Tamandua tetradactyla: one gene and its partners. The protein of the gene in region 3 purifies or fractionates together with the protein of the main gene of each other region. This does not show direct contact. Links are inferred from orthologs where the notes say so. Each region holds a gene or a part of one and is shown on either strand. Other genes may lie near its edges.

What was found.
Region 1: the proteins of BTK (region 3) and BLNK purify together in Homo sapiens (affinity purification with western blotting; 5 studies listed by BioGRID and IntAct, with this or other methods). This does not show direct contact. The link is inferred for Tamandua tetradactyla from reciprocal best matches to the Homo sapiens genes BTK and BLNK.
Region 2: the proteins of BTK (region 3) and ANKRD54 purify together in Homo sapiens (affinity purification with mass spectrometry; 4 studies listed by BioGRID and IntAct, counting the BioPlex papers as one, with this or other methods). This does not show direct contact. The link is inferred for Tamandua tetradactyla from reciprocal best matches to the Homo sapiens genes BTK and ANKRD54.

Annotation. Positions count from the first base shown.
Region 1 is NC_135339.1:57,439,157-57,446,929, forward strand, and holds the start of BLNK (B-cell linker protein), read right to left. Parts: upstream 3,059-7,773; 5' UTR 2,292-3,058; coding exon 2,116-2,291; intron 280-2,115; coding exon 230-279; intron 1-229. UniProt on the Homo sapiens protein: Functions as a central linker protein, downstream of the B-cell receptor (BCR), bridging the SYK kinase to a multitude of signaling pathways and regulating biological outcomes of B-cell function and development.
Region 2 is NC_135333.1:30,208,046-30,216,150, forward strand, and holds the start of ANKRD54 (ankyrin repeat domain-containing protein 54), read right to left. Parts: upstream 3,089-8,105; 5' UTR 2,924-3,088; coding exon 2,599-2,923; intron 2,528-2,598; exon of another isoform or gene 2,352-2,527; intron 1,112-2,351; coding exon 1,064-1,111; intron 1-1,063. UniProt on the Homo sapiens protein: Plays an important role in regulating intracellular signaling events associated with erythroid terminal differentiation.
Region 3 is NC_135353.1:72,132,210-72,139,634, reverse strand, and holds the start of BTK (tyrosine-protein kinase BTK), read right to left. Parts: upstream 3,061-7,425; 5' UTR 3,037-3,060; coding exon 2,896-3,036; intron 2,440-2,895; coding exon 2,341-2,439; intron 1-2,340. UniProt on the Homo sapiens protein: Non-receptor tyrosine kinase indispensable for B lymphocyte development, differentiation and signaling. Binding of antigen to the B-cell antigen receptor (BCR) triggers signaling that ultimately leads to B-cell activation.

The DNA of each region.
Region 1 (7,773 bases), on a different chromosome or scaffold from region 3:
ATAGATACATGGATAGAAGGATGGAAGGATGGAAGAATGGAAGGATGGATGGATGGAGTACTGCATCTCCAGTTTAGTCAAATGCAATACCTAATAGATTTGCTTATTCTTAAAATTAGGATGGGCACTTGTTTTCAAATGAGAACTTATTTCCCTTTTCAACAAATAAATATGAGCATTTAAATGAGTCAAGCGTAAGTTAATGTATCTTAGAAACACTCTTTCTTACCTGAAGCATAGTCCCTTTGGGGAACACTTGGAGGTGCTTTGACTTTCAGCCTGTAGATAATAACCATTAAACAAATGGTTAGAGAATAGGACAACAGGTGTCATGATAGAAGCTGATATAAAGATAACAGGTTGATGACTAATAGAATAATAGCTTATTTGGGGCACATCACATTTAAAGACAATAATGGTGAAGCCATTAACTCAGGGAGTTCCCACCTCTCCCCAACTCCCAGTGCACAAAGCGGCTGCCACATAGCGAAGGCCAAGACTGGCAGTAAAAGGCTGCACAAGGTCAGGGTACCATGAAGCACTGAGGTCAGAGGTTCAAGGACGATGTGGTGATTGGGTGATAGGAGCAGGAGAGAAGAAGAACTATATTTTAATGGTTTGCAAATCTTTAAATAACAGAAGAAAATTAGCTAGAATGAGCACTTCAGTTATAAATTGGGCTGAAATTATTTTTTGCACCATTGGAAAAAAAATTACTGAGCAATGTGCAGTGAATATTTCAAGATTGGGGACTGTGACATTTAGTTTATTTAGAAGTCCAACAGTTTCAAGCACCTTCCAAACTACTTTTAACACATCAAGTGTGCTGAATATTCAAAGTCTTTCTTAACTCATTAAAAGAAGAAAAATTTTAAAAATTTAAAAATTTTTTAAAATTACATTTTTAAAAAGTATTCTAATTTTTAGACTTTTCATAAGTTCTAATATCTACCTTTCCATTATTTGAAATAGGCAAGGTTTATAGAACATTATTAATCTTAATAATAGTTTATGTATTTTAAATAACAAAATAAATCTATATATTTTCAGTAATTTAACTCTTTAAAATATCATTTTAAATTATTTCCTTAATGAAATTTATAAATTATAAATAAAACCAATATCAAGTAACATTTACCAGAACTTCATATCCTTTTATAGAAGCATTTATTACATTTATCTATGAAATAAAATAATCATTTCATACAAAATACATTTCATTTCTTGCAAAAGAAAAGTATCCCAAAACTCATGTTTTGTTATAAAAAAAAAATCCCCTACAAACCATAAAAATAATAAAACCTATAATTTTTCAAAAATAAAAGATTTGTACTTGTGTAGCAATTCTGCTCTTTGTCACCCTAAAGGCTCTCATACCATTTTATTCAATCCTTGTAGCAAACCATCAGGGTGTGCTGGGAAAATGTTACCCTTATTCCTATGATGAGGCCCAGAGAGAGATTGCACAAGGTATTGCAGGGAAAAAAAAATGAAAAAACTGGATATGGTGCAAGGCCTGTTCAAGGACCAGGAAAGCTAAACAAAACAAACAACAAAACCCACAAACCAGCTACTATATTGCCATCGTTTTGTGAAAGAAATTGCATTTTAAATGGGGTTTTAAAATGGTATTTTAATATTTCTAAATGTAGGGAGGTTATAATCTCAGAATAAAGGATTCACTTAAGGAAGGACTGTTGGCCACTGAGCACCGACAGGGACTAGAGGCCAGGGTTTGGATCTTGCTTGCAGCCTGCAGCTGCACAGCGAACTCTAATACTTCAAGGTTCTTATTTTCTCACTTGGCCACAGACCAGCGAGGACTCCGTCACAGTCTTATGTAAAAGAACCAGGGTGCTCGACCGTGCTTCCTCCTTTCAAGGTAGCACCTGCTGCATGGTTTCGAGCGAGAGCTTCACTGCACCTCATTTTGAACCAAAGGGTCATTAAGTTCTCCCAGAATAATGACTATGGCCGCCACATTTTCCCAACCAAGCTGGAAAAAAACATGGCTTGTCAAGTAAAAGCACTTTTGGGGACAATGGACAGAATGTTTGAAATGGAAACTGTCCAAGAAAACTCTTGATCTATGGTTACTGTAAGATGATGACTTACCATGGAATTGAGGGACATTTTGTACAAAAGCTCCATATCATTGAGGAAGCTGGTGTATCGTAAAATTGGCAACTATGGGATTCTAGATCGATTGATCTAGAATTTACAGTCATTGTTACAATCAACAGCAGTGTTCCCTCATTTGAATGGGATTCTATGCGTATCAGAAATAACATCAAAATAAAAGTAATTGCACACCTCTCCCAGTTATATCCCAGAACAAAAAGACAAAAGTCTTTCTAAGATGACCACTATCCCACAAGCAGGGGCACATTTTCACTATTTTATGATGATCGCGTACACTAAGTGAAACTCCTTTATATTTTTTACATATTCTAGTCTAACATCACTACCCAAAGTGACTTCTTAATTATAAATTTACTTAAGATAAAAAAATGAAAATACTCTGTGCTGAAGGCATGGAGAAAATGAACTCTTTGGTGATACAAAATGTTTTAGGGAAATTTGGTGATAGTAATCAAAATTTTAAGGGCATACAACTTTTCATCCAGAAATTTCATTTCAGGAATTTAGCTTACTTGGGTATTGAAAGTGTGTAGCATATTTATCACGGTATTATTTGTGACAGTTAAGCGAAAAAAAAATTAGATTTCTATTATCAAAGTGCCTTCCAAAGCTATGGTACCAATTTGAATCTCCACCCTCCTTAAAAATGCCCACCAATATAAAATTGGTTAAATAGGCCATAATGCATTTACAGCAGACTATTAATCGTGAGTTCAAAAAGGAATATAGTTTTTTTTTACAAAGATAAAAACGCCCATGATACAGCATTAAGTAAAGCAAACCAACAAAGCAAACTAGCAGAACAGTCTGTATAAGATGATACCATCCATGAAGAGAAGGTTTATGTGTATTGGTATGTACTATATCTGTGTCAGTGTGTGTGTGTGTAAATATATATATGCCAAACTCATGATAATATCTGTTTGGGAAGAGTGGGTTAGGGTGGAGGTATGGGGAAACGAGAGGTTTTTACTTCATATAATTCTCAACTCTTTAATTTTTTTTTACCTGGTGAATATGTATTATGTTTCACTAAAAAGAAAAAAAAGAAAAAAGAAAAGAAGCAAACAAAATTCTTACAAAATATTACATCGCTTTTCCTCTTACATTTTGAGTAACAAATGCAGATATGTACATTTCTATTTTCTTTTTTAAAAAAAGGCTTAAGAGGTTTTTGGTGTATAGGACATTTGAGATTCAAGCTTTTCTTCTCCAAGTATCAGCAGAAAATACCACTTTAAGGCAATAGTTGAGAGAACAGAAATCAAAATAGAGCAAACAGCCTGGCACTGTAGAAGCTAAGGACTCTGTTCCTGTAACTTATTTGGATTTTTCCAGGCATGTCCTGGTGGCCCGTAGCTTAATATTTATAGAAGCTGATTTTTCTGCTTTGATGTTCTCTGGGCACCTTGAATAAGCATCCCTCACCTTTCCTGCGGGAGAGGGAAAGGCACAGTGCCCCGGGCACCCCCCCACTCACTCGCCTGTGGTTAACCGGCAGGGACTCAGTCATGAGTGAGAGAGCGTTACAGGCCAAAGATCTTGTAACTCCTCACTCGGGTAACAGAACTTTCTATTCTTCCACTTAGCACTGGTTGACATATTAAAATGGTTTCTATAGTGCCCTGATGTTTAACTTACTTTTTGATTTTGTTCATTATTCCACCTTCGTTGTGCTTGATATCATGGACCATCTTTTGAAGTTGCCTGTAAGAAACAAAATTAAACATGAAATATTAGTAATTATTATACAGTTACGTTATATAACTAGGATGATTTTTTTAAACACTTCTTGAATATAAAATAGAGTGTATTATATTTGATTACGTTGACATCTGTTACTTCAGATGGAAAGAGAAAGCATGGCTGACTGTATAAGGAATGTGGTCCCTGGGCTGTGTCCCATCTGTTGAGCTGTCTGGGCCAGCCTCAGGCTGTGAAGGCAGGAATTCTACCTCACAGATCATCTGTGCTCAGGAGACACGTGAGGCAGAGGTGTCAGTCAGTAGAAGGAGATTACTCTGATTTTAAGGCAGCCATTTAAATTTAGTGGGGAACTAAATGTTAAAGACATTTTTTCAATTGAAAGCTACTTTAGTTAAGTGGCTAGGGTCATCCCATAGAATAACCTAATAAACAACATAAGGGGTAAAAATAAGAAAGACTCAGGAGAGAGAGAAGGAGATGGAGAGGGAGAGAAGGTGGGAAAGGGGGTCAGGGAGGAGGGAGATAGGAGAGGGGAGGAAGGAGAGGAATTTTGGATTTTTCCAGGCATGTCCTGGTGGCCCTTAGCTTAATATTTATAGAAGCTGATTTTTCTGCTTTGATGTTCTCTGGGCACCTTGGATAAATATCCCTCACCTTTCCTGCGGGAGAGGGAAAGGTACAGTGCCCCGCACTGGTCCATAACTTAAGGACAGAACAGGTGTGTAGGAAAACTCCGGGAGAACTCCCTAGTAGTCTCTAAATTCCAAACACTTTTTCATTCCATTTCCAGTCCTTAACATAAACCTATTTTGTGCTCAAAGTTCTTGGAACTGGCTGATGTCCCACGCAATCAAATGAGCCTAAATCAGAAATTGGTACCAGGAATGAGATTATGCATACAACCATCAGCACAGTCTGGAATGGACGGCTAACAGCGTATGTGCCTTGATGACACAGCTATGAAGCTATGTAAGTCTCTTAGATAAGTGCGTACCAAAGATGAAGCTTTTGAGATTTAGCAGCTCCTACCTTAGAATAATTTAATAGGGAAAAGGATGCAAAATGTAGGGCAGATGGCCACTTCTCATAGCATTGGGCAGTTTGCAGTGAGAAAGGGTTGTTCTCTGGTTCTAGGTTGCTTTATGAGAGAAAATCTGGCTGATTGTAGCCACCCTTTGAAATCACTGAACACCAGACCCAGTCATGTCAACTTAATGCTTTGTTATGCCAGGTTTCTCTTGTCAAAGTTAATTATTTGCTGGCAAAGTCAGAGACGGTGACAACTGAAATGCAGATATTGGGAGGACCCAGAGGAGCTGGCAATTCCCTGCTCCCTGGTCTCTTCCCCAGTACTTCCTCCCATGTCCCCATTCCCAAAATATGAAGTTGTCTTACAGTATGACAAAGCCCCTGAAATTAGGGGTGTAAGGTAGAAGAAGCCCAGAAATAATCATTCTTCTGTTCTACTACAACCTAGAAATCAGGATTTAAGAGATGATTTTGATTACTGAATCATTATATAGACATTCCTTTCTGCTTTCTGGTATATTGGAGTAGACAGAAGGAAATTCCTGGAATTTCTAAATTGTAATCCAGCTGCCTTGAATCTCTGATAATGATTGTATAGCCCTTATCTTCTGCCCCTGTGATTGTAAAAACCTTGGGACTAACTTTCATTTGTACCCAGTTATCCAGTAATCACTAAAGACGGCCCCTAATGTTTATTAATGAAGGGTCTTGGGTCTGCCCAGAACTAACCCTTCCCAAGTTCAAAGTTATTTTTGATGACTGAGACTGGATCTAATCAAAGTGGAACTGCTGGACATGTGCAGTAGCTTAGACTTTAACCTACAAGTCACCTATATCTTCTTCCACCATTTTCTTACATATGTTCTGTGACTAAGCATGTGATCAACCTGTGCATCCCCAGTAATCAGATCCCCTCTAATTACATCACCTGGGGCCACTGTGCTCATTATCCTGAACTCTGCCCATATTTTCTCTTTTAAAACTATCCAAATTACCACAGTTCAGGAAGACAGATTTTGGGCCACTAGGCCATCTGCTCTCCTGCTACTTGCCTAGTAATAAACTCTTTCTCTCTTTGAAACCCCGGCATGCCAGGAATTGGTTATGGAGCATGTTGGGCAAAAGAATCCATGGCCTTTGTCCATTAAAACTACTCCAGTGCTAAATTCCCAGTCCAGCCTCGAGGAATCTACTATGAAAAGGAGGACAGTTGGGAGGCAAGGTGTACTTTTGCCAAGCTATTGGGCCTGGTGGGAGCAGTCCTTGGCTCTCAGTGCTACTCTTAGAGGAGGATATCATAGTCCAGATTCTGCAGGCATCTTATCAGAGAAATATCCAGAAAACCTCAAACTCAACATGGCAGGGAATTTTGGCTCCTCAAGTAGCCTTGTGATTTGAACTCAAAGAATGGAAAAGCCCAAAAGGTAAATTCCTGCAATGCTAGAGCCCCCATCACTTGGTCAGATTTGCCAGCCAAGGAACTCACTTCACTGTGAATGAAGTCAGATGACAGTTGGACAACCATGAAGTTCTCTGTTCCTATCAGAGGCCTCACTGTTCATCACTGACTGTCCTTGGAGCATCCACATTACAAGGATAGATGCTACCCAGAAGGACAAAATATAGGCGGAAATTAGGTTGCAAGACTTTTTTAAATCTCTGCTAGGTAGAAACTGGAAAAACTGTCATGCAAAAGCTATAAAGAAAATGATTAATGAATCTGACTATATAAATATTTGAAATAATAAGCACACAATCAAAATACAAATGCCATCCTGGAAGAAACATTTGTAACATGTAATAGTAACATTAAACATTTTCTTGATTTATAAAGAACTCTTATAACTCAGTAAAATAAGATGAACAATTTAATAGAAAAATGAGCAAATGATATGAACAAATAGCTAATAGAAAAGAAATGCAAGTGGCCAATAGATCAATGATTTAAAGAAATCTAAATTGAAACAATAATGAGATATCATGTTCTACCTATCAGATTGGCAAAGATTAACAAGTGTAATAATATCCAGGGCTGGTGAGGGTGCAAGACTACAGATATTCTTGGGAATGTGAATTGTTGCAATTGCTTTCTGTCAAAAAAGTTAAAACATCTATACTTATTGACCCCGCAATTCCACTGCTGGGAATTTGTGAATTGTCCCAAAACTTTGCCATTGATGTTTATTGCAGTATTATGGACTGCATGGACCCAATCCTCCCTGCCTCTGCCCCAAAGCAGCTGGAAACAACCTAAATCCAGTCAATAAAAGGGAACTGGTTAAATAAATTTTGATAGAGCCATAAAATGGAATACCACAGACCCTTAAAAAAATATAAAAAGAAAGAAACTTGGATCTGTATTGCTGATACAGAAAAATCCCCAGGAGATATTAAGTTTAAAATAAAAGGAGGAAGAAGAAAGAAAAAGAGGAAAGGATGGAAAATGCAGAACAATGTGTATAGTTGGGGAGAAGAAAAACATACATACATTTGTTCTTGTACATGCATAATTTTTTACAGGTTATGCAAAAAGTTTGTTAAAAGGTGGTTTTCAAAACCAATGGCGTCCCTTTGTACAAATTAAATACAGGTGCTCCTTTTGTCTGGGTGGACCCTGCTCTGTGTCAGAGCGTTCAACCTGCAAACAGAGCAAGGCTGGATTTTAGCCCCCGCTTGTTCCCATAGCTGGGCACCCTCATACAGGGACAGCCCAACCAACTGCAGGGTGAAGACCTGGCGTCTGGGAGTGCGCTTGATAGGTGTTTCAACAGGAAGGAGAGGAAATGCAAACTCAACTCGATTAAAGGAGTTTTACTGTGAGGCTATGCACTGGTGGACTGATGCCTAAGATGGCGACAGCAGTGAGCGGAGAATGGGGCACAGCTTATATAGGAT
Region 2 (8,105 bases), on a different chromosome or scaffold from region 3:
CCTTATATGACAAAAGGAACTTTGCAGATGTGATGAAGGTTAAGGACCTGGAGATAGGAAGATTATTCTGAATTCTCTAGGTGAGCCCAATCTAATCACAGAGTCCCTAAAACTGGAGAAACTGTCTCTGCTGCCAGAACCAGAAAGATGGCATGAGAAGGGCTCAGCCTACTGTGACTGGATTTGAAGAGGAATACAAGCAAGGAACGTGGGTAGTTAGGACAAGCTGGAAATGGCAGGAAAACATTTTTCCCTTGAGCCTCCAGAAAGGAATGCAGCTCTGCAGACACCTTGATTTTAGCTCAGTGGGACCCGTGCTGGATTTCTGACGTACAGAATTCTAAGATAAGAAATGCATTGTTTTAAGTTCCTAAGTTTGTGGCAATTTGTTACAGCAGCAATAGGAAACGAATATATCACTTTCCCCAAGTCACAGAGGGAATTATATTAGTGGATAAAATTAAAAAATGTTTTCCTATAAATTTTCTTTGCATCTTTGATGTTGCTACTGCCTTGTCAGCTGGCAGATGCTGGAGAGCAATAATAAAAAAAAAAACCAGACAACAGTGGTGTTCTGCTATGAGCTCCACCTATGCTTTTCAAATGCTCTGTCAACTGAAGTTTGAGAACCAGGGACCGACCCAACTACCATTAAGCCTCAGTGAGTAGGCTAAAGGTGGTGGCACTGCCTACCCGACCCCTGGCAGTTAAAGCTGAATGTTCATTCCCAACGCAGAGGTTGAAAAATGAGCAATAACTCTCTGCGGAGGACTGCGCTGGGAGCCAGGGGTGTAAAAGCAGACAATGAGCCCAGCGGTGATAAATTATATGACATCAGGAAGTTCAGGGTAATAGGGGAGCATAAGGGACTAAGCATCTAAGCCAGATTCACCTTCTACAAGTTGACTGCAAAGTTACACAGTAAACAAAGTGAGCCTCGAGTTAGGGGTAACCTGGTAGGCTGAATTAAAGCACTCTCTTCTCAGGTAATGTGTTAATTGGATTTTTCCTTCCCCAAACCAGTCCACAGGTCCTTGGAGCTAGGCCCAATGTGCACACTCACCTGTTTCCACGTCATTGGCATTGGCTGAGTCCCGGAGCCTCTTCAGAGCTATGACAAGAGTAAAGGAATTCCAGTTAAAAAAAAAACAAAACAGGTGTGATGAAGCAGAAAGTGGATGGGAGATAATCCACTCTTCAGCCATAATAGCACCTAAAGGGAAGAAAACTGCTAGCTACAAGAGATACTACACTGGGAACAAGGAGAAACTTGAAATGTGGCACTAGGGTAGAGGCCGCATGCTTGGCAAATCCTCCAAGGCCTCTGGATCTTGGCTCTGCCATTTATAGTAGTGAGGTGAACTTGGGCAAGTTTAGTTAACCCTTCTGGGTCTCAGGTCCATCATCTCTAAAACAAGGTTAAGTTCGACCCTGCCAGTCTTGAATTGTTGGAAAGATGAAATGACATAGATAATTTACTTAGAAGCTCTTTCTGAGCTAGTTACACAGATCTTCTTATTATACTTCCTCCAAAATAGGTCACTCCCAAATGACTTACCTAAACTTGGTCATTCTTAAGCAAAAGCATTTTTCCCCTCCCTTGACACCAACTCTATTTAGAGGCTAGTAGAAAGCAATAGCTTTGTCATCAGGGAAGTGGTTAAAAATTCCTTACATTCCTATAGCACTTTATGGTTTTACAGAACTTTCAAATTCTCAATTAATCTTCACAAGACCCCTAAAATATCGGTGGAATCACAGATTAGTCCTAAAGGGGACACAAGAAGCCCCATTCTTAATCTTTCAGAGTCTTGGTTTCCCTGTCAGCCATTAAATGTAAAAGCTAGTATGGTAAATATACAGCAAAGTAGGAGTTTTAGAGTCAAGCAGACCAGGGTTCTAATACCAGCCCAGCCTCTTTCTGGCTAAGGACCTGGAGCAAAACAATGTCACTGTGCCTTGGTTTCCTCTTCAATAAAATGGGAACAATATCTGGATCTCAAAGAATTACTGTGAGAATTAAAAATTACCCCATATCACCCAAAACAGTGTCTGGAACACAGCAAAGGAGGTCTAATGGTTATACATTCATTATTTAACTGAACTCTCACAATAGCCCTGTAAAGCAGGTATTGTACACACTGTACAAATGAGAACACTAAGGCTGAAAGGCTCAACAGTTTGCCTAAGGTAGAGGAGTCCATCCCAGGTCTGCACATCTAAACAACTGGGTACCACTTGGTTACGAGCTCTGGCCTCCCCTCTCTGATAATAAAAGTATTCTCTGGTATTCCCTTTTATTGCCCACTAATAAATACTTGGGGTCATGAAAGTTTCTACTTAGGAACTACCAAGTGTGAAGGTCAGTGATGACAGGCTAGGAGAAGTAAGACATTAAAAAAAAAAATTCGTGGTCCTTAGCAACTATAATAACAGTTATTGAAAGGAGGCGCTAGGGTCATTCTGGCCTTAGCCCGGGCGTCCCGGAGTTCCAGGCTGCGAGTGACGGGGAAGGCCAGGGTCCCGGGTACCGGGGAGGGGCGGGGGGCATGGACGGGCCGCCTGCCTCGCGCTCCGCCAGCCCGCTCCGCTCCTCACCGTAGACTTCCCTGCCGGTGGGCCCGAGCCGGCGGTGGGGCCTGGCGGCGCGCCTCAGCCGGCCGGCGGGCATCTTGCAGCACAGCTCGTCGCGAGGCTCCGCGTCTTGCTGCCACAGGACGTGCAGGTAGCGCAGCGGGGACTGGGCCCCGCTGGACGACCGACTTGGGAGGCCCGGGCTGCCGCCCAGCGCCGCCCCGAAGTCGGCGAAGCAGAAGAGGCCATCGGGACCAGTCAGAGGCTCCGGGGCTACCGCACACTCGCCATCCGAGCTCGATCTGCCCGAGCGCGGCTCATCTTCCGCGCCCCCTGCGGCTGCTGCCATGGTAACGGTTCTGCGCGGGCCTAGCCGCGGGAGCCTCGTTCCCGACAGACCAACCGACCCACTTCCCTCCGCCGTAAGCCGCGCTGTCAGCGAGTGAGCCAGAAGACCGGGCCCGGCCTGCAACTACCGCACCTCAGCGGGGGACGAGCTCGGGTCTTCCGGACCAATGATAGCCCTTCCAGCCTAAACCCTGACAGCCAATCGGGAAGGGAGGGCATAGTACGCACGAAAGGATTGGACAGTGTTTCTGGCACTGTGACTGGCGGACAAAGAAACCAATAAAAAATTTGAAGTGCCCACGGTCCACGCGTACGTACGTCGCTACCGGAGCCAATAAAACAGCAGAGTCTAAGACATTCTTTTTTTTTTCTTCAATTTTCCCCCGTCGGATTATGGGAAAGACAGTGGGAAGGGGCTGGAGCCAATTACATTTAGATGAGCAGCAGCCATTCACCAAAGAAAGATAAGAAGGCGGGGAGGGAGGGAGTGTGAACGTAGAAAAAGAACTTCTTCCCAATGCGTGGTCCAAGAAGGAAAGTGAAAGTATGTCAAAATGTGGGGCTGTGGAGTAATAGTTTCTAAGGGTGATAGATTCTCTTTAGTCTGCGGTCTCTCGCCCCCCCCCCCCGCGCGTTGATCACTAATGATTTACAAAGCGTTATAATTAACGTAATGACACTACAGCGACACTTCAGTCCGAGAGTCGGTCACAGAGCGGCTGCACGTCCAGGACACAGGATCAGACTTGGTGCCCACTGAGCTGCTCACGGTCCCCAGGGACAAATCCGGGAGCAAGGAAGTGTTCTGCAACCAGACAGATAACCGTGAATTTACCATTACTGTTTTGGAAGAATTCTCACGTCTTTGTGCCCCGCAAACACTTCTGTAAGGTGGGCAAGGAGGAACCTCCCTATTTTATAGATGAAGAACTGAAATTGTAAGGGTGCGCCCCACTACAAAATCACAGAGACAAGTGGCCTGTTCACGGATGCCCAGCGTTCTTGGGTCAAGGACTTTTCCCACCACATAAACCCTCTCACTGTCAGCCAACCCAATTAAAAAGTAATCTTCCTGACAGTTGAAAAAAGCACTTCCAGATTTTGTAGTGTCTGCGGGACACCGTTATGAGAATTATCATTGTAGAAAAATAGTATATTTGAACTCTCCTCCTCTGTCCGATAACAAGTAAGGACACATGCCAACTCCACTTGTAGCTAGAAGGAAACAGGCAAGAAACAAATATTATTGAACATATACCATTTACCAAGGGCTTGATATACATTTAGATATTATTATATCCACTTTGCAGATCAGAAAACTGAGGCCCTGAAATATTATGTGAACTGTACAAGGGTACAGAGCAAGACAGTTAAAAGTGGCATTTGAATCCAGACCACCGCCCAAGGCCACACTCCCCTCTTTCATAAATGAAGAGCCTGCAGGAAACCTGACTCCAGGAAGTCTAAGTGATATCTGAGCATTTACACCTCACTCCTGATGAATGTACCCCTGAAAAAAACTTTATTATTCCTCCTCTTTTTCCAAGTAATGACCTTCAAAACAGTCTTCCCTCCATTCTCTCTTCTTAGAATCTCAAATGACAAGTATCTATGCTGCCTAAATTGGCAAATCTCTTCAAGTTCCTAGAAACTTGTTTGCCCACTGAGTTCAGGTTGAAGTCTAAACCCTTTATGCTGGTAGTTAAGACCCTTCCTAATTTGGATCCAATTATTTTTGGAACTGTTTTCTTTCTCCTATCAAGAGGAGAAAGATTGATCTCCACACCATCTTGCCTACCAAGATGTTTGCTTCAGCAGAAAACTTTGAATCTAAGCAGGATCCCTGAACAAACAGAGGTGGTTGTTAATTTTACTTCTAATTTAAAGTCAAATTTGTGGAGGCATAAACCGCATGGCCCAGCCCTCCATCTGTTGCAGGAATTACTTGAATGTTGGAATGGGAAGAATGAGCTGTGTTTGAGTGTGGATTCCGTTCATTAGCCTCAGAGTTTCAGACTGGAACTTGAACTCTCCTCTGCCCCATAATCAGTAAAGACAAAATCCAACCCTATTTGTAGCTAGAAGGAAACAGAGGAAAGGAACAAACGTTATGTACATGTACCTTATGTACTAATAAGGGTAGGATGCTGGCTAAGACCATACAAATCCTACATGACAGTGGGCACATCACACTGGCTGGAACTTGACCCTGAGGGTGTTGCAAGCATTCATTCACACACGAGCCATTTATATTTGGTCAGTCAGCAAATAAAACATAAAGCACCTAATAGGAGACAAAGAAAATACCAGTAACATTGTCTTGTGGGCCTCCCTGGCAACGAGGGACAGAGATCTTGGAATAAGCTGAGACTCAGCATCAAGGGATTGAAAAAAACCCTAGAATGAGCTGAGATTTAGCATCAAGGGATTGAGAAAACCTCGACCAAAAGGGGGAAGAGGGAAATGAGACAAAGTGTCAATGGCTGAGAGATTCCAAACAGAGTCGAGAGGTTATCCTGGAGGTTATTCTTATGCATCAAGTAGATATCATCTTGTTATTCAAGATGTAATGGAGAGGCTGGAGGGAACTGCCTGAATATGTAGAGCTGTGTTCCAGTAGCCAGGTCTCTTGAGGATGATTGAATAATGATACAGCTTTCACAATGTGACTGTGTGATTGTGAAAACCTTGTGTCTGATGCTCCTTTTAGCTACCTTGTGAACAAAGGAGTAGAACATATGGAACAAAAATAAATAATAGGGGGAACAAATGCTAAAATAAATTTAGTTTGAAATGCTAGTGATCAATGAAAGCGAGGGGTAAAGGGTATAGTAGGTATAATCTTTTTTTTTCTTTTCTGTGTTCGCTTTATTTCTTTTTCTATTGTCTTTTAATTTCTTTTTCTGAATTAATGCAAATGTTCTAAGAAATGATGAATATGCAACTAAGTGATGATGTGAATTATGTATGTTGATGTTTTATTTTGTTTCTTAATTTTTTAATTAATAAATTAAAAAAAAACATTAGAACCAGTTTCAAACCCTAGCTACCCTACCAATAAAAATTGCATTATTTAATAGGTAATAAATAATAACCTCAAATAAAAAAAAAAGTCTTTGCCTGCCTGGGAATCCAAGTCCAATCTGCCACTTTGTGACTTGGGCAAGGTCTTCCTCTCTGGGCCTCAGTCTTACCATCTGACAGGGTTATTTTTAGGTCAGATATTGACATCTTTGGCCCCTTAGGCTAGAAATAGCTGGTTGAGTTTCCTTTCATTCTTTCTTTCCCAAACCCTATCGACCTGTTCAGAAATTTGAACTGCTTGTCAGCATTTAAAGATTGATAGCTTTTACAGAAAAAAATATTGACTTACAGGTTCTCTTAGAAATGGGAATCTCTGGCAAAGCAAGGCCTGCTTTCCTACTTGGCAACAGTTGCTGGAGCTGCATAGCAACTCTCCCCTTTGAGTGGGCATGGTGCGCTGGTTTGCTAGAGTCCCCACTACTCCCTATTATTGCCACGCCGAGGCTGAAGACAATTGCTATTTATTGTCATACTTGGCTGTTGTTTTTAAGTAGAGTTAACAGGAAATTAAAATAGTTCTGTCTTTATTAAAAGTAGTATAATGAAAACTAGTGTGTGGGGAAATTACCTAATATCTGAAAATATAGCGAATGGGGATCCTGTGATTTTAAATATTGGGCTTGAGCATTTTTAATATTGTGCTAGAGCATTTTTTAATAAGGCCAGGTAAGAGACATCAGACTCTCTGGGGAAAACTTAACTTTGATTAACACTTGATTTAGACCAAGAATTGTCTTAGAATTTCGTAAAGTTAGAGGTTAACTTGAAGAAAATGGATAAGGTACAATGATGTTTATTTTTCCAACGGAGAAGATAATCCCAATGTTTACAATTTTATTGCCCTTAGACCATGATTTAAGTTTGGATCTAACTTAGCAATCTAACAGCTTTTCTTTGCTCAATAACTATCCATCCTCAAATTCTTTTCGAGCCAGCTCTGTCACACTGTTGGTTCCTTTAAGGATTAAATAAGCTCTACTATGTGCACACTCTCTATTTGTGATAGAATTATATTTTAATTTATTAAGAGTATATATTTTTTGTCTATCATATAAGTTCTAAAATAATTTTTGGTTCGTTTGTTGTCAATTTTACTTATAATTGAAAAGTCAAATTTATTCAAGCATAAAATACATACATATGATAACACCTTCACATTTTAAGTGTTCAGGTCAATGATTTTTGACAAATATATACACTCCTGTACCTACCAACCCAATCAAAATATAGAAAATGATGGGAAGGTAAAATGGTACTGTCACTGTAGAAAGCAGTATGGCATTTCCTCAAAAAGTTAAATGGAGAATTGGTATATGATTTGGCAAATTCCACTCCGAGGTATATACCCAAGGAAATTGAAAACAGGGACTTAAACAGATATTCGTACACTAATGTTCATTGAAAACAGGGACTTAAACAGATATTCATACACTAATGTTCACAGCAGCAGTATTCACTATAGCCAAAAGGCAGAAACAACCCAGTGTCCATTAATAGAAGAATGGATAAATAAAATATGGTACATACCTACAACGGAGTATTATTCAGCTGTAAGAAGGAATGAAATTCTGAGACACGCTATGACATGGACAGACCTTGACAGCATTATGCTCAGCAAAATAAGCAAGGCACATGAGGACAAATATTGTGATTTCACTTATATGAAATATTTAGAAATAGCAGAGAACAGAAAGAAGATTAAGGGTTACCAGGCTACGGGGAGGGTAGAAGCAGGAGTCGTTGCTATATGGAATGTTTTCAAATCTTGGAAATTATAAAATAAAATTAATGAAAAAGATATAAACATGAGAATTATATTTTTAACAATTCAAGAATTGTTCTTTTAGATTACAGAGAGAGGGCCTTGTGTTTTTAGAATGAGTGAATATTTGTGGGCAAGGACAAGAACCTTAAATGTTTATGATGAAAGAAAGAATACAAGTTAAGATGCAGTTAGGAAATCCTAGAATGAGCTGGAACTCAGCAGGAAGGGATTGAGAAAACCTTCTCTTCCAAAAGGGGGAAGAGAGAAATGAGACAAAATGTCAATGACTGAGAGACTCCAGAGTGGAGAGGTTATCCTGGAGGTTATTCTTACT
Region 3 (7,425 bases):
TGATGACATAGACCTTAAAACCCAATATAGCAAAAAAAAACCATAAACAAAATCAATCATACAGGAAAAACTGGAAAAATATTTTCAACATATATTGTAGTTAAAGAATTAATATTCTTAATATGTCAGGATCTCTTAAAATTATCAAGAATAAGGTAAACATCTTAATAGAAAAATGGGCAAAACATTAAGAGGTAATTCACAAATGAAAATATGTAAATAAGCAGTAGACATATAAATAATTGTTGAACCTTACTAGTAGTATAAAATTGCAGGATACCTGGCAACGTGGGACAGAGATCCTGGAATAAGCTGAGACTCAGCATTAAGGGACTGAGAAAAACCGTAGAATGAGCTGATAATTAACATCAAGGGATTGAGAGAACCTTCTCGACCAAAAGGGGGAAGAGTAAAATGAGACAAAGTGTCAATGGCTGAGAGACTCCAAGCAGAGTCAAGAGGTTATCCTGGAGGTTATTCTTATGCATTAAGTAGATATCACCTTGTTGTTCAAGATGTAGTGAAGAGGCTGGAGGGAATTGCCTGAAAATGTAGTGCTGTGTTCCAGTAGCCATTTTTCTTGATGATGATTGAACAATGATATAGCTTTCACAATGAGACTCTGTGAATGTGAAAACCTTATGTCTGATGCTCCCTTTAGCTACTATATCAACAGAAGAGTAGAACATATGGAATAAAAATAAATAATAGGGGGAACAAATGTTAAAATAAATTCAGCTTGAAATAGTGGTAAATGAAAGCGAGGGGTAAGGGGTATGGTATGTATAGTCTTTTTTTTTGCTTATCATTTTATTTCTTTTTCTGTTGTCTTTTTATTTCTTTTTCTAAATCGATGCAAATGTACTAAGAAATGATGAATATGCAACTATGTGATGATATTAAGAATTACTGATTGTATATGTAGAATGGAATGATATCTAAATGTTTTGTTTGTTAATTTTTTTTAATAAAAAAAGTTAAAAAAATTGCAGGATAGATCAGCAATGAAATATTATTTCTTCTGGCTGTCAAACTGACTAACGTTTAAAATAAATTATAATACCAAGTATTGGAAAGAATGTAGAAAAATAAGAGTTCTTATACACAGCTAGTAGAACTGCATGAAATTCAAATTCCACTTCCAGGAAATAAAATAGAATAAAGACATAAAAATAACCAAGTGTGCCAATTTCACAAAAAAAGAAAAAGAAAATTTCTCTTCTAGGATTCTATTATAAGAATAGCAACCAAAAATGTTTGCAAGGATACTTCTCTCAACATAGTTTATAATATCAAATCATTGGAAACAACCTAAATGTGTAGTAACAGGAGATTAGATAATCAAATTATTATATATCTATAATAGGGAATACAATGCAGTCATTAAAATCATGTTATTAAAGATAATTAATGTCACGGGAAAACAGTTACCATATATTGTTAAATTGAGAAAGTAAATTACAAAGGCAATTTTATGTTTAAATATTTATCATATATATGAAACTGAATGTATGTGTAAATTGAGTTTGTGTATACATGGTTGTTAGAGAGAAACATTTTGTAAGTCTGTATAGATATAACTGTTTTAGCTGGGTGATAATATTATAAATGACTGTATTTACTTTTTTATCATTTTAAAATAGTTTTCAGATTTTCTTAATAAACATACACTACTGTTATAATCTGGAAAGAAGTGATATGTTAAAAACAAATTGGAGGGAGAGTAAGAGGTATAGTATGTATGAGTTTTTTCTTTTTTCTTGTAATTTCTTTTTTTGGAGTGATGCAAATGTTCTAAAAAATGATCGTGGTGATGAATACACAACTATGTGATGAGACTGTGTGCCACTGATTTTTCACCATATATGGAATGTACGTATGTGAAGATTTATCAATAAAAATATGAAAAAATAAAAAACTCAACTTAGCAGTCACTGGGTGTTATGCACCAGAAAGATTCTGGGAAACAAGGGGAGAATAAACAGTAAGATATCAGTGCATCTCCTATTACTCAGAGCCTTAGGATTCTTGCATTCAGACTATCTCAAACCTCTGATTCTGAGCCCAGTAACTGTTATCTCTGGCCAGGTTGAAAACTAGATATAACAGCATTTTGAAACAGGAAGTTAGAAGTTTTCTAGGTTAAATGATCTAGATCTAAATATCTGGGGGAAAGATGCTGAGAGTATAATCAATATGTGGTAGAGTGAAGAACTTTGTAAGGGCATTTTACTGTGTTTCACAGCACCACTAGATTACTTACAGAAAATCTAAATGTTCCAAATTTCTTAAAATCTCACGCTCTCTCTTTCTCTATGTCAAACAATCATCTCTTCTTACCAGAATCTGTCTTTCAGGGGGCGGATTTTTTTCAGGAACCACTGTTTCAACGCAGGTGATCTTCTCTACATCTATTGAACCCTTTTTACTGCCTCTTCTCTGAGAAAGAGAATGTGGAAGAAAATGGAGAAAGAGATTAAGGGTGATTGGGCAACCAGATGATTAGATTTTGTTATCTAATCATTCTACATAGTGAGGTGACACCCACACTCTATATCAGGACCTGTCATCTTGAAAGTATTAATCTAACCCATTTTGACAACCAGATGGAGGACAAACACTATAGAAGAGTGGATGTGTGTGCCTTATCATAAGAAATAAGGAAGCAATTTCCAACTCTTGGATTCCATTCTCAACAATCATTTAATGAATGCTCACCAATTACAAGATTCCATGTTAAGATCCATCCCCCACCGCCTTTAATCATGACTTCTCTTGAGTTTTGCTAAGTTTAATTGTACTTAGGTCCATTTTACCTTGCTCTTACTACCTCCTCCCTAAGGAATTTCTAAGACCAACCCCTTGAAATTCAGGTTTCACAGCAGAAAAACTTACCCCACGTTCAAAGTCATACTCATAGTAGGAAAGTTTGTGCACGGTCAAGAGAAAGAGACGCTTCTTGAAATTTAAAGGTGATGTTTTCTTTTTCTGCTGAGATCTCTTGAGAAAGATGCTCTCCAGGATCACTGCAGCCATAGCTTCTTTCTGGAGCTCACTTGTGTGCTGTTGATAATAACAGTTTCTGAGGATCCAGTACATCAATCCTCACCCCTACCTCAGTTTAACCCTGGTTTTGAATGAAACAGACCATGAAAACCCTACCTTGGTATCCTCCTTTCATAGTCAACAGCTCTGTCAGTTTTTGCGTTTAATGGATATTGAATTGGGGAGTTTGGTCCTACATTGTGTCTTCATGTAAGGCAATGAATTGCTCTGGATGTCAAGTGGCATGTACCTGTGTCCTTGGCAATGTCCAGAGACAACTTTACGCTAATCACTCTTATGGTACATGGAAGAAGATCTGTGAACAGCAAAAGTCTGTGTAACTGTTGACCCTAAAAATCCCAGAAGGGATAATGTAAGTGCCAGAACTTCACGGAGGGAGATATTGAAGCCTCAGTTCCCAGTTTCCTAGACAGTGAATTTAATTTTTCAAATTGTGTCCTATTAAGAGTCTGTAACCAAGAGGTCTAATAAGGATAAGGAGGCTGCACCTGTAGTTATGGACAAACACTACCTGCCACCCAACTGATTTTGCCCATCACCTACTGAGCTACAAAGGATGGAAGCTTTGCTCTAAAGTTGAAAAAAAAATTCAGTGGGGATATGGTTGTTTCTGTTCTTGACCTTTGGCTTTTTTTTCTTTTTGCTTTGATTAGTTCTTTTAGACAACATCACGCAAAGGTATTGCAACTATCTTACTGCTGTCTCTGATCATTTATGAAGAATAAGTCCTTGTTTAGCCTTCTCCAAACTTACAATATTACAGAAAGTTTCAGTTTAAGTAACTGAAATACAGAAAGGCAAAGAAAGTCATCAAACTTTTTTGTTTGACATCAAAACTTTTTTTATTTACACAAAACAAAACTTTGTATCAATTGTTCACTTTAAGTTAATGCACAATCTTATATTACTAATTCCAAACTTTCATTAGAAAGACAAAGTGAAAGCTTAAATATTATCACAAAAAATAGAGCACCAATAAGTACTGAAAAATCACCAGTCCCTCTTCCCATCCAAATTTTGCTAGAGGTGGATAATTTTTCCTATGGAGGGGTGAGGCTTATTATTATTATTTGAACCAAACTCCTTGTGCTTTTGGTGGCACTATGGAAACAAAATAAAATTGGCAATTTTTCTCTACTGTCAAGCAAAGTGGTTATTTTCAAAGTTCAAAGCAATATGTGCCATTATTTTACTCTTTTTTTTTTCATTATTCTGCTTTTTTCTAAGGTGTAGAAGGTTCTACGATCATACTGAGGAGACAAAATGATTAAAGAAACACCAGGAATGTTCAGAATGTTTGCTTTGCCACTTACCCTCCTTTATCTTATGGTTGTGGATTAGTTCAATATTTTGCAAATCATATTTTCAGAAAAATTGCACAAGGGAGCAAAACTTTCCCCATTCCCTGACCAACACCTCTCTTCCCTGATTCCCTGGCCTTTGATTGAAATGACATATTGATATTGTTTCCAACCAATCAGAGTCCTTTCTAACATTCAGATTCAGCTGAAACTCCAAAGAACTTCCTTTTAACATTAGAACTATTCATTTACATAGAAGTAATGGCAAAACCAATAATTACACTCTATTCTCAGGAGCTGCCAACTCATTGAGATCCCTGTTGTAAAATCACATTTGCTTCCATGACAAATTTCAAAAAAGTACCCTTTCAAAATAAAAAACTCAAATTACAGAAGATAAAATAAAGCCCTAAAGGAATTGAGTAGCCTGATCAGTAAACAGAATCAGAAACCACATCCAGTTGTGTTTTCTTTTAGTAAAGCACACGTAGCTTGTTACCTTTAGTTTTGTTGCAAACTCCCTGCTCAGATCCAGCATCTGCTTTGGTCTTGGTCTCTGCTCTTATTTCTACAAGACACATCCTGCTGGAAACTGCCTCTGCTCTTTCTCTTTTTAGAACAAATCCAGTTTGTACAAAAGGAAGCCTTCATCTTTTCCAAGTGTCTGTGTTGGGGTAGGGTCTGAGGAAGTAAACCTCTCATTAGCCATCGCCTTACTGAGCAATGGATGAAATGGCTTCCACCTCTACATCATGCTGTTCAATAGGATTTCAAGGACCTGGTATCCCACCCACACACACCCCTCCCTATCCCCCCCTTCTTTTTTTTTACTTTTTCCTTATTCTTTATGAACCAGTCTAGACACATGTAGCCTGGAAATATGGTAGTTCTTTCTTAGTCACCACTGGTCGTTTCACCAAGAATGTGAAAGGAGAGGCATCCATCTTTATGTCTTCCCCACGGTTAACATGTAATGGACAGCTCTGAGTTAGAGATAGTTGTGGCTTCTTAAGATACTTATTGTGGAACTCCCCAATTTTTTCTAACAATTTCAGCAGCCTACAGATCCAACTCGACCACAAGAGATGCATAGACAGGACTGGCCCTGTGCCTCACTTAGGGAGTAAGGGTGGAAAACAGAAGTGATGTGAACATTATACACACAGATGCACACGCAAACATACAGACCATGTTCATATGGAGAAAGAAAGAGGGGAAGGGAAAATTATAGACAGACACAGAGCTCTTTAATTAAAATACAGAGTTCCAGTGTTATAATATTCTCTTTGTTGAACTACAATACAAGGATTTTCACATGATCACCTTTTGCAGCTTCTAGCTCCCTATAGAGCAACAGAATTCAGAAAGAAGATGCTTATTAGAAAGGGTTCAGCCATCAAATCAACTGCACTATGCCAAAGAATTAATATAAATAGCACTTGCAGAATCAGTCAACTAAACTGGCTCCTACATTTGCTCGTGTTAAGATAAAACACTATTAAAGACAACACCAAAGCAAAATCTACAAAACTATACAGCCTGCCTATGATTGGAATGAGACCACTGTGGCCTTCAGTAAAGTAGCAAGCCATTGGTAGGAGTCAAATTGGTTTCTTAAAAGAAAAAAGTACAATTACATGTGTGGTGGGTCATTGTTCAGTACAGTATATATACAAGGGTAACAGTATGCAGGATGTTTTCATACAGTGTATTTATGGCTTGTCATATAAATTAAAGGCCTTGTATTTAATATTTTTCAATCCTTTTAAATAAAATTGTTCTTTGCAAAAGTTCCCTTGGGAGAATGGGAGAAAGGAGGAAATATTTAACCTCACCATTTGGAGAATTTCTGATATTCTTGTAAACAGTGGGAACAACCAAATCAACAGGCTGAGCCCTTGATCTTGGGGTTCACCCCTATGAAACATTGCTACAAAGGATAGGCTAGGCCTACTTAAAATTAGGCCTAAGAGTCATCCCCAAAGAACCTCTTTTGTGGCTCTCATGTAGCCTCTCTCTCTAAGCCAACTCAGCAGGTGAACTCACTGCCCTCCCTCCTCCATGGGACATGACTTCCAGGGGTGTAAATATCCCTGGCAATGTGGGACAGAAAGCCTGGGATAAGCCGGGACCCAGCATCAAGAGACTAAGAAAGTCTTCTTCACCAAAAGGGGGAAGAGAGAAATGAGACAAAACAATGTTTTGTTGGCTGAGAGATTTCAAGCAGAGTCAAGAGGTTATCCTGGAGGTTATTCATATGCATTATAGAGATACCCCTTTTAGTTTTTGGTGTATTGGAGTGGCTAGAGGGAAGTAGCTGAAACTGCTGAGCTGTGTTCCAGCAGCTTAGATTCTTGAAGACAATTGTATAAAGATATAACATTTACAATGTGACTGTGTGATTGTGAGAAACTTACGTCCGGTGTTTCTTATATCCCCAGAATGGACAGTTGAGTAAAAAGTATGGATATAAAATAAATAAATAATAGGGGGGACAAATGTTAAAATAAATTGGGTAGATGGAAACATTAGTGGTCAATGAGAGGGAGGGGTAAGGTGTATGGTATGTATGAGTTTCTTCTTTTTTCTTTCTTTTTCTGGAGTGATGCAAATGTTCTAAAAAATAATCATGGTGATGAATACACAACTATGTGATGTTATTGTGAGCCATTGATTGCATACCATGTATAGAATGTATGTGTGTGACGATTTCTCAAATAAAAAATTTTTAAAAATGTGTTCTTTGAAAGAATGGTTGGTGCTTATTTTTTCAAAAATTATTGTTAATAATGTGATGACAATATGCAATATTTATCTGATGAACTATAACTATCTTAATTTGGTTCTGTAAGTTTTCTGTTGCACTTGTAAAATGCTACAAGGAATATTTAAAATTCTATTCACTTTAACTTATAATAGTTAATGAAATAAAAACAAGAATCATAGCTTTTGTTATGTGGTAATCTATAAAAATGTTTAACCTTGAAATTCAGTGTGAAGAACTGAAAGTAATGTACATGTTGTAAATATTTGTATGTTGTGAGAAGTTTTTGTCATA